Linked DNA regions of Arabidopsis thaliana. The protein of the gene in region 1 interacts with the protein of each later gene in a pairwise test. Each region holds a gene or a part of one and is shown in the gene's direction. Other genes may lie near its edges. The genes, in order: HAT22, LSMT-L and TPL.

What was found.
Region 2: the proteins of HAT22 (region 1) and LSMT-L interact in binary tests that used the Arabidopsis thaliana proteins (3 or more experiments, as listed by UniProt).
Region 3: the proteins of HAT22 (region 1) and TPL interact in a two-hybrid assay, tested with the Arabidopsis thaliana proteins (one study listed by BioGRID).

The regions. Positions count from the first base shown.
Region 1 is NC_003075.7:17,766,093-17,770,286, forward strand, and holds HAT22 (Homeobox-leucine zipper protein family), read left to right. Parts: upstream 1-1,949; 5' UTR 1,950-2,148; coding exon 2,149-2,598; intron 2,599-2,693; coding exon 2,694-2,773; intron 2,774-2,873; coding exon 2,874-3,180; 3' UTR 3,181-3,584; downstream 3,585-4,194.
Region 2 is NC_003070.9:4,804,711-4,809,238, reverse strand, and holds LSMT-L (Rubisco methyltransferase family protein), read left to right. Parts: upstream 1-1,721; 5' UTR 1,722-1,798; coding exon 1,799-2,262; intron 2,263-2,352; coding exon 2,353-2,381; intron 2,382-2,507; coding exon 2,508-2,719; intron 2,720-2,834; coding exon 2,835-2,957; intron 2,958-3,045; coding exon 3,046-3,450; exon of another isoform or gene 3,451-3,530; coding exon 3,531-3,746; 3' UTR 3,747-3,933; downstream 3,934-4,528. Other genes in the region: AT1G14020 (O-fucosyltransferase family protein), read right to left, coding at 4,128-4,395, 4,518-4,528. UniProt on the Arabidopsis thaliana protein: Protein-lysine methyltransferase methylating chloroplastic fructose 1,6-bisphosphate aldolases. Can also use with low efficiency gamma-tocopherol methyltransferase as substrate, but not a cytosolic aldolase.
Region 3 is NC_003070.9:5,414,956-5,422,798, reverse strand, and holds the start of TPL (Transducin family protein / WD-40 repeat family protein), read left to right. Parts: upstream 1-1,765; 5' UTR 1,766-1,962; exon of another isoform or gene 1,963-2,225; 5' UTR 2,226-2,260; exon of another isoform or gene 2,261-2,367; 5' UTR 2,368-2,439; coding exon 2,440-2,519; intron 2,520-2,619; coding exon 2,620-2,799; intron 2,800-2,903; coding exon 2,904-3,017; intron 3,018-3,128; coding exon 3,129-3,287; intron 3,288-3,384; coding exon 3,385-3,562; intron 3,563-3,633; coding exon 3,634-3,757; intron 3,758-3,856; coding exon 3,857-4,138; intron 4,139-4,230; coding exon 4,231-4,340; intron 4,341-4,421; coding exon 4,422-4,491; intron 4,492-4,566; coding exon 4,567-4,640; intron 4,641-4,722; coding exon 4,723-4,914; intron 4,915-4,997; coding exon 4,998-5,360; intron 5,361-5,451; coding exon 5,452-5,592; intron 5,593-5,672; coding exon 5,673-5,768; intron 5,769-5,844; coding exon 5,845-5,991; intron 5,992-6,082; coding exon 6,083-6,193; intron 6,194-6,266; coding exon 6,267-6,446; intron 6,447-6,527; and 10 more. UniProt on the Arabidopsis thaliana protein: Transcriptional corepressor. May repress the expression of root-promoting genes in the top half of the embryo to allow proper differentiation of the shoot pole during the transition stage of embryogenesis. Regulates the expression of PLT1 and PLT2.

The DNA.
Region 1 (4,194 bases):
AGTCAAAAGACACCAGCAAAATGATCAAAAGGCGAATTTAAATAACTTCATTTGTAACTTCTGACGCCCCGACTATTCTAGCTGTTACAAGTGACCAAAATGGCTAACAATGTACACGTTAAACTTTTGATTTTCACACTACCATATTTTATAAAAATCATGATGTTCTAATTGATTATATAAATAAAATGCTTTACATATGCATGTAGTTCACATTTTTTTTTTTTGGTTTGCAATTGTTTCTTAAATAAATAAATAAAAAACCTAATTTAAAACAAATCAGAAGAAAAAAAAATTGCAAACCAAAGTAATCCAAATAAGCTAGTATTTTAATCGGATTGTGAGTACTTTCTCCACTTCTCCTTCGAGGCCACGCTTATATATTAATTTGTACAATATGGGTAACCTAACTTGGTTGGAAAATAGAAAGTGCCAAAAAAAACAAAATATGTATGGCTAAAACCAATAAAACGTCCCACGTCGACTTTCAAGTTAAGTCCCTCAACAATATTATTTCTGTTTGACGAATCACATTCCACCACCACCATGATTACCAATCTTCTTCTCCCACCCGTTTCTAATTCAGGCCATTCACAATATTTGATACAGAATAATGAAACTTAATGTTGAACTATTCCGCCATTTTACTGTTTCAATTAATTAAATATTTATCTAAACGAGGTGCTGTTAGTAAAAAAAGTTCCAATATTTTTCTAGCTAATTCTATAAAAAGACACTTTGTACTGTAAGAGCAGAGACGATAAAAACAGAAAATGTAACGATAATTTGTTACGTCCTGTAATGAATTGTTTAAATTCGAGTAATGATATTTATGCATTTTCTACATATATGCTACTAGTAATCAATAAAAGCATAGTATTATCAAAACTAGAATGCGGTGGAAATAAATAGATAGAAATCATTGGATAAATAAGTCCCAACACAATCTGGCCAGATCAAGAGAACCGAACCTAAAACAAGAAAGTGGAGATCACAATCCGAAACCCTAAATAATAATACAAGAAAGGGGAATATAAAAAGAAATTAGAAGAAATTAATTAAAAACCCAATGTGTAGTGTGAGGAAGTTGAAGATTGGTAGGCAAGCTGACATGTTACCCATATCTACCTTCTTCAAGCAAAGCATGGAGTGGGAGACAATTCATGTGGTCTCTTATTTAATTAAAGTTGCCTCTTAATTACTCTCTATTGACAACTTATTATGATACTCCTACTTAGATAAGTTAAATGTATCATTTGATTATAATCTAATTTATTTTAAGGAAGTCTTCAGTTCTGTTAGTTATATTTAACGCTTCAGTGGTATATTACAAGAATATCTGTACTCGAGTAAATATTTTAAAATATCAATCACAGAACATTGGATCTTTGAATGTGGGCATGGGAGGATATAGAATCGTTTCGTCATGTGCTAGTAATTGTATTGTTGACTTGAATTGAATTTGTGGATATATATCCCGATTAACAAATTGAAACAAACATGTAAAGCAATGTATAAATGGTAAAAGATAGAAGTAAGTTTATCAGGAAATGCAAACCATCAATTCGGATATAGGAGTTTAAAAGTCTAATCGAAAGTTTTGGAGAGACTAAAATCTATTACACCCAAAAAAAAATTGCGTTGAACCGTTTTTTTTTTTTTTTTGGGTTTTTAAAACTAATTTAATTTTCATACCACGTCATAAAAATTATATTCTCAGAGTATAAATTTGTATACTATGAATAAACATACTGAAAATTTATGAAGTGGGAATAATAGTTGCAAGTGGGGTGCGCATTTGGTCAACCTTTGTAAGTAAGAAAATACAAAGGAGAGAGAATTGTGCTATCATAATTTTCCACATTCTTTTTTTCGAAAATTCCATATAAAAAAGTAAGCAAAATAAATACATTCCTTGATTAATTCTAATTATTAGCCACCCACCCACCCACCCATCAAAAATTAAAAATAAAAATTAAAAAGACAAAATAAAAACTCTCTTCCCCTTCTTAAGAAGAAGCCATCTTGGTTTCATTTCGTCCCATAATCTTCCAAACTTCACCAGAAGAAATTCTTAACAAACAATTTTCTTCATAATATTAATTCTCAAGATCTTAAAGATTATATTAATACGAAGAGAAAATTCAAATGGGTCTTGATGATTCATGCAACACAGGTCTTGTTCTTGGTTTAGGCCTCTCACCAACGCCTAATAATTACAATCATGCCATCAAGAAATCTTCCTCCACTGTGGACCATCGTTTCATCAGGCTCGATCCGTCGTTGACTCTAAGCCTATCCGGTGAGAGCTACAAGATCAAGACTGGTGCCGGCGCCGGCGACCAAATTTGCCGGCAGACCTCGTCCCACAGCGGCATCTCATCTTTCTCGAGCGGAAGGGTAAAGAGAGAAAGAGAAATCTCCGGCGGCGATGGAGAAGAAGAGGCGGAGGAGACGACGGAGAGAGTGGTGTGTTCGAGAGTGAGTGATGATCATGACGATGAAGAAGGTGTTAGTGCTCGTAAAAAGCTTAGACTCACTAAACAACAATCTGCTCTTCTCGAAGATAACTTCAAACTTCATAGCACCCTTAATCCCGTATGATATAGTTAATTATTTCCTTAATTAAACTAATCAGTCTCTTCTTATTTACGTTAATCATATCGTTAATTATTTTTTCTATGAATTTACAGAAGCAAAAACAAGCTCTTGCGAGACAGCTGAATCTAAGGCCTAGACAAGTTGAAGTGTGGTTCCAAAACAGGAGAGCTAGGTAAATATAATTGATTACTTTTGTGAATTTTAATATCATACTTTTCTTTCTTTATTTTGGTTCATAAAAATATTTTTTAATTAAATTTTAATTTGAACAGAACAAAACTAAAGCAAACAGAAGTGGATTGTGAGTTTTTGAAGAAATGTTGCGAGACTTTAACGGATGAGAATAGAAGGCTTCAAAAAGAGCTTCAAGACCTTAAGGCTTTAAAATTGTCTCAACCGTTTTACATGCACATGCCGGCGGCGACTTTGACTATGTGCCCTTCTTGTGAGAGACTCGGCGGTGGTGGTGTCGGAGGAGATACGACGGCGGTTGATGAAGAAACGGCGAAAGGAGCTTTCTCCATCGTCACAAAGCCTCGTTTCTATAACCCTTTCACTAATCCTTCTGCAGCATGTTAGTTACTTATTAGTTATTTAATTTCTTTTTGTTGGTTTTTTTTTTGTTTCTTAAATCAAATTAGGAATTAGTTAGAAGATAAATCCCAGGGAAAAAATATTACGTTGAAATTGGGGGGAAATGGGGTATAGTCTTTATAGATAAGACTCTTCAACGATTCCACTTTATTTTTCGGTGGGATTGTTGGTTGATGAAGAAAAAAAAATAGTTTGTAATTACAGGTTTAAATATGTAGAGAAAAAATGACGAATATGTATTATCTTGTTTTTTTTTCCTTCGAATATGTATTACGGTAATATAAATTTGCTTGTAAAAATAATAAATATATTATTTGATAAATTTTGTACAAGTTTATATCACGTCTGACGACGTATCCTTAACAAATGATTGTTCATTCATGTGAGTATAATATTGATTTATACTGTTAAATGATATTTAAATATGGGTTCTAATTTGAGTTCACACTTTACAAACATAAACAACCAAACACTCTTCCGTATTTTAAAGATTCTTAGATTGATTCTTAACAGGAGGATTCGTGTATATATTTGTAAAGTATCCACTACGATTTTATAATTTCAGAGTTTCTTTAATTAGCCAAGTCTCTATTATTCTTTACTAATCGTTCATCTTAATGAGACACTGGTGCCAACTTGGTTTTGATTTCAACCGTCAAACCCAAAAATGGAAATAAAATTGATTGAAATAATTTGCCACCGATAAATAAAACACTTATAACTAGTATAACTAAATAGATGGAGAATCCTAAAACTTCACGAAGGTAAAGGTATGAAAAAAATAAAAGATGAGACGGTAAGCCAAACCAATCTATATCAATACATCAAAATATATTTATTCAAAATTCACATTTTATTAGTGTTTTTTTTCTGACTCATCAGTCATATGACATATATACATTTATTTGTTTTGGCTCCAGATATAATAATTATATTTTTTATTATCCAAAAGAAAAGAAAAGAAAAAAACTGAAAAATCATTTGATGGGTGTGAATGAT
Region 2 (4,528 bases), on another chromosome or scaffold:
GACAATAGTGAGTAGTTGACAAGGAATCTGAGTCTCTCCTTATTAAATGTTAGGCATATACTGTTTGTATATAAAAGTTAATTAGCCATCCATTTTGACCTTCTCGAACTAAAGGAAGCCTTTTCACCTAGCCATAGAATATACATATACAATACCATTTGTAGTTAAATTTAATAACTATCCTATTTATATGAGTTTTTAAAAAAAAAAAAAAAAGAGTAAAGGTAAGATATCTGTTTGGCAACGAACTAAGAAAATATATTTTAGAGGGATGAATTTTGTTGACCAACCTGAATTGTGTCAATCCGACCACCACATCATGTCGTCATCCCGATATTGACCGCGTTTTGTGGTTTTCGTGAGAAGTGTTTTCTCAGTCTCTGATTTAAAATTGCGATTAGTGAGTTGTTTTTCAGGTTTACCACACGAGTTTCGGCGCGACAAGCGGTTCCGTTAGAAGAGTTTATGTTCTTGACATTTGATATTTTGTATGACAAATTAGTACTTATTACATTTTGACAAAGAAAAATACACTCTATTGAAACAGTCTAATTGCATATTAACAACTAAAACAGTCTTGTTGCCAATTTTGGAATTTTGAACAATTTTTGAAAGTAATGAAAAGTCATTCACGTGTCTCCCATCTCAAACTTAACACGTTATATTAGCAAAAGTAAACTGATCTTAATCAATATCGACGTTGTACCTTAATTTCATGGACCAAGTTATTGTCTAAAACTTAAAATAGCGGCCATTTCGACGGAAAAAAGTAGCAATAAACTTTGGTTTTCTCGTTAATAATTAAAGTTATATCAGAAACATATTTGGAATTGATCATAATCTTAATTAAGCCGAGAGAGTGTAATAGGTTTTGTTTTGTTTTTTGATAAGAGTGTAATAGGGTTTCTGATAGGTATCACATTACACATGTACCTTACTGGTCTCATATCCCGTGGTCAAGCCGGCAAAACAAGAGAAAGGAAAGTTCCGCTTTTACATGTGATTACTACGTACGTACCATTACCTATATTACAAAGTAAATTACTTGTCTTCTACGTTGATGGAGAATAGTGGATCATTGTACCCCCTAAATTACAAATTTAAGACTAATTTCTATTTGATTAAGAATAGTGAATAAGACTTGTATATTTGATTCTTCAATTACAATAAGTATTTTAGCACACAATTAAATATGAACTACTTAAACACATAATTAAATCAAAAACATTTGAATTAGACCACTTGATATTATGATGATGATGATGATTATGAAGGTATGTGTGATATGGTGGGTACATACTACATATATGTCTCGGCCAATCTCTTTTGTTGTTGTTGTTGTTGTTGTTGTTGTTGTTGTTGTTGTTGTTGTTGTTGTTGTAACATGTTGCATTATCTTGGAGGAATTTAGAATGAATATTGGGATCTCCATGAGATGTTACCTATTTAAAACTCAAGTGTCAAGTCAGTAGATTTGAGGTTGAAGCTATAGTTGACCATTTTTCTTCTTACAAAGGTTGAGATGACAAAAAAAAAAAAGAAAAAGAAGTTGAAGCTACCATAAGTTAAAAAGATAATTTTTTAAAAATGAAAATAAATACAGACAATTAACAATTTAATTACATCAGAACAAAAATAAAATGTAGGCCTTGGCCTTTTAGAATAATGGGCCTTTAACATTGGTAACTAGAATAACTAGATTTTTGTCTCATCAACAACTTAGAAAAAACTGATGTGATATTATTGTTATCCACACACTCTCTGTTTCACTGATACTACCCGCCATCGGAAAACCACCATGTCAGCCTCCGTCGCCGTCGTGTCGGGTTTTCTCCGTATCCCGTCAATTCAAAAGTCTCAAAACCCTTCCTTTCTCTTTTCTCGACCCAAGAAATCTTTGGTGAGACCCATTTCAGCTTCAAGCTCAGAGTTGCCGGAAAATGTTCGGAATTTCTGGAAATGGCTCAGAGACCAAGGAGTCGTATCCGGGAAGTCTGTGGCAGAACCTGCGGTGGTACCGGAAGGTTTGGGACTTGTAGCCAGGCGTGATATTGGAAGAAACGAGGTCGTATTGGAGATTCCCAAGCGATTGTGGATAAACCCAGAGACAGTGACTGCTTCCAAGATTGGACCTTTATGCGGCGGATTAAAGCCGTGGGTTTCAGTAGCTCTGTTTTTGATCAGAGAGAAGTATGAAGAAGAGTCTTCATGGAGAGTTTATCTTGATATGCTTCCTCAATCTACTGATTCTACTGTCTTCTGGTGGGTTTTGTCCTTCTCTGATCATCAATTGTATCTCTGATCAACACTAAGCTGATGAGATGTCTTCTTCGTGAAATGTCTCCAGTACAGGTCAGAAGAGGAGCTTGCTGAGCTTAAAGGTCCATTTTCTTACCCTTTTCTTTGAAAAGTCTGATCATTGTTTAGATTCATACCAATTGGTCTGAGTAGCAGTAGCTGATGATGATGTACATTATTAACTTTGTGGTTACTGTTGTTTGGCTCAGGGACTCAACTGTTGAGCACCACATTGGGTGTGAAAGAGTATGTGGAGAATGAATTCTTGAAACTGGAACAAGAGATATTACTGCCTAACAAAGATCTCTTCTCATCCCGCATAACACTTGATGACTTCATATGGGCGTTTGGGATCCTCAAGTCGAGGGCTTTTTCTCGTCTCCGTGGCCAAAACCTTGTCTTGATCCCTCTTGCAGACTTGGCAAGCTATCTTCTTGTTTCAGATATTGTCTAGTGAAAACTTCAGAAAATAATCTTCATTCATTGATGCTTGGCTCAGCAGAGAATCTCTGACTTCAATGTTTGAATTTGAACAGATAAACCATAACCCCGCGATAAAGACAGAAGATTATGCATACGAGATCAAAGGAGCCGGCCTTTTCTCTAGAGATCTCTTATTTTCCTTGAAGTCACCTGTTTATGTTAAAGCAGGTGAGCAGGTATGCTCCAAACACTGTCTACTTAGTTTTCTCCCTCAAGAGTGTAAGAACAAGCCCTTTAATACTGTTTGGATGATCTCTTCCATAGGTATACATTCAGTACGATCTGAACAAAAGCAATGCAGAACTTGCTCTCGACTATGGTTTTGTGGAATCAAACCCTAAACGGAACTCATATACTTTAACAATAGAGATACCAGAATCAGACCCATTCTTTGGGGATAAGTTGGATATTGCTGAGAGTAACAAGATGGGTGAGACCGGATACTTTGACATAGTAGACGGCCAGACTCTTCCCGCTGGTATGCTTCAGTACCTTCGGCTTGTGGCTCTTGGCGGTCCAGATGCTTTCTTATTAGAATCTATCTTCAATAACACCATATGGGGTCATCTTGAATTGCCTGTAAGTCGTACAAACGAGGAACTCATATGCCGTGTTGTCAGAGATGCCTGCAAATCTGCTCTGTCTGGTTTTGATACGACCATTGAAGAGGTATATATGTTCGAGCTCTTACTTGTACTGTCTTTGCAGCTTAACACTCATTTCTTACTCGTCTTCATCGTCTGTTGTAGGATGAGAAGCTTCTGGACAAAGGAAAGCTTGAGCCTAGGTTGGAAATGGCTCTCAAGATAAGGATTGGTGAGAAGAGAGTGCTTCAGCAAATCGACCAAATCTTCAAGGATAGAGAGCTTGAACTTGACATTTTAGAGTATTACCAAGAGAGAAGGCTCAAAGATCTTGGGTTGGTTGGCGAACAAGGGGATATTATCTTCTGGGAAACCAAGTGAGAATTAGCTTAGCTTGTATAGCTTATCCTGCAGAACAAACTCAAGGCTAGAAAGAAAATCTTTACTGGTTTGGTCTCAGACCACATAGACTTGAATCAACCTCAAGACATCAGAGTTGAGAGACCACAATTTGTATGTTAGGCTATTGCCAAAAGCAGGCTTTTTGAAATTCTATAAGATGAGACATAATCTTCTTTTTAGTTACATCTTAATTTACGTAAAACTAAATAAATCAAGATCAGCAACTATGCAGGAAAATTGAAAAAAATTACAAACAAAAATGGAAAAACTCAGGGAAGGAACTATGCAGCTCCCGTTCAAGTGTTTGACATGCCGTCCTCTTGCGGAAGCAATGAGATATAATATGCTAAAAACATGACTTCAATGTGTTAAATTTCTATGGCCAAACAGGTCGTGGCAATTTGTACCTTCACAAAGACATTCTTGAGGATTTGCGTAGAAGTAATCTTCCTCCTTAGGTTTGTCAGAGATTACTCTTCGATGAGTAGGTGCTCCTGCTCGTCTCTCATGGGCTTCCTTGACTGCTACTGCAAACTGATCCCACGTGAGGGTCTTGTTGTGATGTAAGTCTAGTAGCTCCACGAGTCTCTTACGGTCAAGCAGGATTGTCTTCTTATATCCAAGGTATCTGCAAATTCAAATCAGATATAGACCAATAATGGTTATATAGAATCACAGGTTTGGTTATTCTTAACACCACCTTTTTAGTTGTCATGAAATTGAATGCATTCGACACCACAAATAATTTACCTACGATGACC
Region 3 (7,843 bases), on another chromosome or scaffold:
TTTGTTTAGAATATATTTGTGTTGCGCTCATAACGATTCTTTTCAATATATATTGTTTGATTAAAGCTTTTAACAAAGTACAGTTTGCTTTCTAAATTATTTTTAACACGTATCCAGTTTTTTAAAAATATATAAAAATATATTCTTCACACCTATCATTTTTTATAAATAAAATATTTTTAACATTTAAAGATATATAAGATATTTCTAATAGTATAATTTATTTTTAATACTTATCATGTTTCTTAAATGGTTTGAACGCTTCGTTTCATTAGTTTATCCAACCTACCTCAGTTATGATATTACACTTTAGTAAAATAAAAAAAAACTGGTTATAAACTTAAAATATTATGCTTTGCTCGTATTAAAGAATTTCAGTACTTGTATATCGTTTTTTTAATTATTATTATGATTTATGACCTCGCGATTCGTGATGGTTAGTAGTAGACTAGTCGTAGTGGACAACTACTGTAAGAAAAAAAACTAAAAATAGATAGACACACACGCTAAATTAAATAAATCGTAAATCACGATTACATATTTATGTTTGTACTTGAAAATGTTATCGCTTTACGTGTGGTGATGGTGAGACAACAGTGTTTGTGTTTGGACGGGATAGATGTCAAATTACTCAAACGTGCGACTCTAAATTACACAAACTCTCATTTATTGCCCATCCTCCATCGATATCTTCACCCCTCTAATATATTTTAAAAATGTTATTTATAACTTCAACAATACACATTCGGTTTCATTTACAATTAATCCTTGCGTTATTATTACTTCTAAGCTATAGTATCTTGTACTTCCTTCCCCTGCTATTATTTAAACGGAAAGAATCCAGCTAATTCCGATCCACCTGCTCCTAGTAGCAATCTATCTATAAACAAACAAAACTAAAGTATAAATTATCACGAACATCTTAACAATAATAGTCAATGCAAGTGGTTCTTGTGTATACAAAGAATTAATAGGAACTACTATCCACATCCTTACGTTTACATTTTTCACAACCAATCATGCACTAAATTAACCTCTAATGAAAAAGTTAAAAATAAAGAATAATATTATCAAAGAATAATGATAATGTTCAGCAACATGTTGGACCAAGAAATGTTCAAACAATACTATAATATTGAAATATTTAGTAGTATTAGTTTTGTTCTTGTTTTTTTTATATGAGGAACATCAGCCATATCGTATAAATCGTGATAAACCGAGTTTATAAATCATATTTCGTATCTCGCCGAGAAGAAAGACGACGTAGCATCTTTACGAGTTGAACATTTCTCCATCACGTGATGTTCGATGAGTTAACGCATCTCAAGAGCAATTGGCTCTTCAATGTCATATCCGTAAATATTAGTCAAACTTGAGGGCAATGACTCAATATAAAAAGCTTTGTCGTGCCACGAGGGATCTGGAGACAAGTCTGACACATTGAATGAAACTCTAGCCGTTAGATCTCCGTCCTCCGCGCCATCTGACAAAATCGACGGTTTTCCAGATAGGTGTAAAACTCATCGCGAAGGAGTGGATCACACCTCTGTGGAGTACAGCTGGCAACTAATATTCCGAGCCGATAACGTCGAGAAATGTAGCCGATCAAGTCGTAGTTATAAGCAGTTCTACTTATCATTCCTGCTTATCGCAGTTAGCTTTTCTTAGAGTGATAGCTAACTTATTTTATCAGCATCCAATTATCTGTCACCTTCTCTTATTAAAATCTCCATTTCTGCAAGTTTTAATGTCCGTATATATATCTCGAAGAGAGAGAAAATCCCTTTTTCTCTAGATAGAGAGAGAGAGAGAGAGAGAGAAGAAGAAGCTTTTTAATTTAGTTTTGCTTTCTTTCAAGTTTCCTTTTTTCGATAGAGAGAAAAAGAGTCCAAAAATCAATCCATCACCTCTTTCGTCTCTGTGGTCTTCTTCTTCTTCTTCATCGATCTCTCTCTCTTTATGGTGAGTAAGCTTCACGCTTCTTTCTTCTACCTTTGTTGCCTCTGTTAATGGAATCTAGCTGTTTCGAGTTTTATTGTATATATTTTTTTATCCTTTTGCCCAAACTTTTTTCTGGGTTTTGCTTTATTTTTTCATCCCCCTTTCTGATAATTAATTTGCTTTTTTCATGTAGTAAAAAAAGATTCTTTTTTTAAGCTATTAAATTCACATCTTCCAATTCCAGGAAGACCTAAATTTCCTCTTTTTTTTGCCGTTATCTGCAGAGATGCGAAGTTTCTGGATAATTATTCAGATATAGGTTCCAAGTTTTTAGCTTTCATTTCTAACTTCTCTTTTCGTGTTTTTTAATTTCCATAATCTGGAAACTCAGATTTGAGCTCATTTCGGCCATTGTTTATATTGCAGATCTGGTGATAGTTTGGTTAGTTGTTGTGCATCTGAGTTAGAAAAAAGTCTTTTAAGGAAGTGAGAGAAAACATGTCTTCTCTTAGTAGAGAGCTCGTTTTCTTGATCTTACAGTTTCTCGATGAAGAGAAGTTTAAAGAGACTGTTCACAAGTATGTCTCTTTTGCTCTGTAGATTTCCTTGGATCTAATTTACCAACTGACCTGTTTAGCTCTTGTGTTGGTTAATGCATTATTGCTTTGTCATGTTCAGGCTTGAACAAGAATCTGGGTTTTTCTTCAATATGAAGTATTTTGAGGATGAGGTTCACAATGGAAATTGGGATGAGGTTGAGAAGTATCTCTCTGGTTTCACTAAAGTAGATGATAATAGATACTCTATGAAGATATTCTTCGAGATAAGAAAGCAGAAGTATCTCGAGGCTTTGGATAAGTAAGTCATGGTTGGGGATTTGTTTTTTTTTTTTCCTTTCAGTGAGATAGCAAAAGAAAAAGAGTCTGATTTGTGATTGACCTTGGTGACTTTTTTGTTGGTAGGCATGATCGTCCCAAGGCTGTGGATATACTAGTGAAGGATTTGAAAGTGTTTTCAACTTTTAATGAGGAGCTTTTCAAGGAAATAACACAGCTCTTGACATTGGAGAACTTCCGGTAATGTTATATTGGATTAATGTAGTGTCCAAAGCCTTTGTTTTCTTAGCCGTAGTTCAAAAGAAAGATTGATGCAGAGTATTAAGTGTTTCGAGTTTGATCAACTTTTAGGGAGAATGAACAGTTATCCAAGTATGGGGACACCAAGTCTGCAAGAGCGATCATGTTGGTGGAACTCAAAAAGCTGATTGAGGCGAATCCTTTATTCCGTGATAAATTGCAGTTCCCTACTCTTAGAAATTCAAGGCTGAGGACTTTGATCAACCAGAGGTTTATTGCTTTGTCCCTTAATCTTTTTGTCTTATTCACTTCAAGTTGTTGTTGGCATATTAATTCATTCTATCTTTTGTTACTGCATAACTCGCAGCTTAAATTGGCAACACCAGCTTTGTAAAAATCCAAGGCCAAATCCAGATATCAAGACTCTTTTTGTGGATCACTCTTGTGGCCCTCCAAATGGCGCACGAGCTCCATCTCCTGTGAACAATCCACTGCTTGGAGGGATACCAAAGGCTGGAGGATTTCCTCCTTTAGGCGCACACGGGGTAATTTAGTTTCTATCATTTTTATTTATGTTTTCCTGAGGCCAAGTGTTTGATTGTCTCTATGTTTCCAGCCATTTCAACCAACGGCGTCACCTGTTCCAACACCTCTTGCTGGTTGGATGTCTAGTCCATCCTCTGTCCCACATCCAGCTGTCTCAGCAGGAGCCATTGCACTTGGTGGTCCATCAATCCCAGGTACTACTTGCTTATCAAATGTGTATGTTTCTTCAGACACACTTTGTGTGATCTATGCAATTTGCTTACAATGGAACTCCTTTCCTATCTTTGGTATAGCGGCGTTGAAGCACCCGAGAACTCCTCCAACTAATGCTTCTTTAGACTACCCGTCAGCAGATTCTGAACATGTCTCAAAAAGAACAAGACCAATGGGAATCTCTGACGAGGTGAATCTAGGCGTGAACATGTTACCGATGTCATTTTCAGGGCAGGCCCATGGTCATTCTCCGGCTTTCAAAGCACCTGACGACTTGCCCAAGACAGTTGCGAGAACTTTGAGTCAGGGCTCATCTCCCATGAGCATGGATTTCCATCCAATTAAACAGACCCTGCTTCTAGGTGTGTTTCTTGCTCTCTGTATGTGCTTCTGTGTAATAATAATAATAATAATCATCAGCAATTTTCTAAATTCGTTTGAATTGTTGTACCAGTTGGTACAAATGTAGGTGATATCGGGCTGTGGGAAGTTGGTTCTCGCGAAAGATTAGTACAGAAGACGTTCAAAGTCTGGGATTTGAGTAAATGTTCAATGCCCTTGCAGGTGCCTATGCATAGCAACAACAAAATGTTAACTTTTATATATGTTATGAATCTACAGTGACTGAATTAGTTGTATCTTCAGGCTGCTCTGGTGAAAGAACCTGTCGTTTCTGTCAACCGTGTGATATGGAGCCCTGACGGTTCCTTGTTTGGTAAAGAACTCGCCTTTAAATTTATATCTGCACATGAATGCAACTTTATAAGTCACCAAACGTTCTGAATTGCAGGAGTTGCTTACTCGAGACATATTGTACAACTATACTCTTATCACGGAGGTGAAGACATGAGGCAACACCTTGAGGTCTCGTACCATTCACAAGCCTCTCTCTTTAACAATCGTTTTTTCCCTTGGGGATTTTCTTGTAATATTGTGATTATTTCAGATTGATGCTCATGTTGGTGGTGTGAATGATATTTCCTTCTCGACTCCAAACAAGCAACTATGTGTAATAACTTGTGGTGATGACAAAACCATCAAGGTTTGGGACGCTGCAACAGGTGTCAAAAGGCATACTTTTGAAGGCCATGAAGCTCCTGTTTATTCCGTTTGTCCTCATTACAAGGAAAACATTCAGGTAAGCTTAGCTAACCGTTGATCTCCCTCCCTTCTATTAAATGTTTCAGTTTTTTGATGTGTTGTATTTTTCCTGTCATCAAGTTCATATTTTCAACAGCTCTTGATGGGAAAATTAAGGCTTGGTTGTATGATAATATGGGTTCCCGAGTTGACTATGATGCACCTGGTCGCTGGTGTACTACAATGGCTTATAGTGCCGATGGTACTAGGCTATTCTCTTGTGGGACGAGTAAAGATGGAGAGTCTTTCATTGTTGAGTGGAATGAAAGCGAAGGAGCTGTTAAAAGAACTTATCAAGGATTCCACAAGCGTTCTCTAGGTGTTGTGCAGTTTGATACAACTAAAAACCGTTATCTAGCTGCGGGTGATGATTTCTCCATCAAGTTCTGGGATATGGACGCTGTACAGCTTTTAACTGCCATTGATGGCGATGGAGGCCTCCAGGTACATGAACAAAAAATGCCTAACTAGAAAAGTTTTCAGATATTCTTTTGGAGTTTCTTCTTAACTTGCGCTTCTAATATATTTAAACTAGGCAAGCCCGCGTATCCGGTTCAACAAGGAAGGCTCTCTCCTGGCCGTGTCTGGCAACGAGAATGTGATCAAGATTATGGCAAACTCAGATGGTCTAAGGCTATTGCACACTTTTGAGAACATATCATCTGAATCCTCCAAGGTACTTAAAATCTAAGCTAAGCTTTAAATTACTTACACCCAATTGAAAGATTTAGTCAACACTTCATTCTACATTTGCAGCCTGCAATAAACAGCATAGCAGCGGCAGCGGCAGCTGCTGCAACAAGTGCTGGTCACGCAGATCGATCAGCCAATGTAGTTTCCATCCAAGGAATGGTAAGAAATACAATTCTTTTTTGTTCTTTCACTCACTTTATTTTATCTTTCTATTATTCATCACTTGCCTTTTTAGAATGGAGATTCGCGGAATATGGTGGATGTGAAGCCAGTGATCACAGAAGAATCAAATGATAAGTCTAAGATATGGAAGCTTACTGAAGTCAGCGAGCCTTCTCAATGCAGGTCACTGAGACTCCCTGAGAATCTGAGAGTAGCCAAGGTATATAAAATATACATTTTCTGAGCCATGTATAGGGTATATATATATAGCTGTTCTTTTTTCTGACAATAAAACCAATGACTTTTGGCAGATATCAAGATTGATTTTCACGAATTCGGGAAATGCTATTTTGGCTCTGGCATCAAACGCAATTCATCTTCTATGGAAATGGCAGCGGAATGAGCGCAACGCAACTGGAAAGGTGAAATTGAGACTCTTTCTTAGTCAAATAATGATAAGTGTCACTGATCTCTACATCTCGATTTTCCGTGTAGGCGACAGCTTCTTTACCGCCTCAGCAGTGGCAACCAGCTAGTGGGATCCTCATGACTAACGATGTTGCTGAAACCAATCCCGAGGAAGCTGTACCTTGTTTTGCTTTATCCAAGAATGATTCATATGTAATGTCAGCCTCCGGAGGAAAGATATCCTTATTTAACATGATGACGTTTAAGGTAATGGGGACACATAGATGCTGATCTTTTGATGTTCTGTGTATGCAATTTGACTGACTGTTCTTGGCTAATAATTTGCAGACAATGGCGACTTTCATGCCCCCACCACCGGCTGCTACTTTTCTTGCTTTTCATCCTCAAGACAACAATATCATCGCTATTGGGATGGATGATAGCACGATTCAGATTTATAATGTCCGTGTTGATGAGGTAATGCATCAAAACTCAAGAGAAGAATGTAGAAAAGAAGATGAAGTGTTTTGTTTGTTAATATGATGGCCATCATGTTCCTTGTTTGCTCCTGCAGGTGAAGAGTAAGCTTAAAGGTCATTCAAAGAGAATAACTGGTCTTGCCTTCTCCAACGTATTAAACGTGTTGGTTTCGTCTGGAGCAGATGCACAGGTTCCCGCCTTAGACCATTTTTTTTTTTTTTTTTGAGAATCGATGAAGAAAAGATCAATAGTCTTTGAAATGTTTTTGTTTCAGCTTTGTGTTTGGAACACAGATGGATGGGAAAAGCAGAGAAGCAAGGTTTTGCCACTTCCACAGGGAAGACCAAACAGTGCACCTTCAGATACGCGTGTTCAGTTCCATCAAGATCAAGCTCACTTCCTCGTTGTGCACGAGACGCAACTTGCTATATACGAAACTACCAAGCTCGAATGCATGAAACAGGTATTTTATATTTATAGGCCGCTCTCTCTAAGATCTGCAATTTATTGCATTTGAAAGATGATTAATGATTGCAATGTTTCAGTGGGCTGTTCGAGAATCATTAGCTCCAATCACTCATGCCACATTCTCATGCGATAGCCAATTGGTCTACGCGAGTTTTATGGATGCAACAGTTTGTGTATTTAGCTCTGCAAATCTACGGCTGCGTTGCCGGGTCAACCCTTCTGCGTATCTACCAGCTAGTCTCAGGTAAACAGAGGAATCTTGAAATTTACCCAAAAAAACAGAGGAATCTTTAAATTTCGGAAAGAACGTTTCTAAACATCAATCGGTTAGTTGTTTATATATCATAAAGCTCCTCTTGTTGACTTGTGCAGCAATTCAAACGTACATCCACTAGTGATTGCTGCACATCCGCAAGAACCAAACATGTTTGCAGTTGGTCTCTCAGACGGGGGAGTGCACATATTCGAACCGCTCGAGTCTGAAGGTAAATGGGGAGTCGCTCCACCGGCTGAGAACGGGTCGGCTAGCGGTGCACCAACTGCACCTTCCGTTGGAGCCTCTGCATCTGATCAGCCTCAGAGATGATCTGATCCGAGAGCCACCTACCTCTCTGATTCCCTTTCTTCTATTTAAAAGTCTTTTCTTTCTTATTTTTTTGGTAGAAAAATTTATGACCCAGAGATTCTTAACATTTAGATGTAACATATTTTCACAG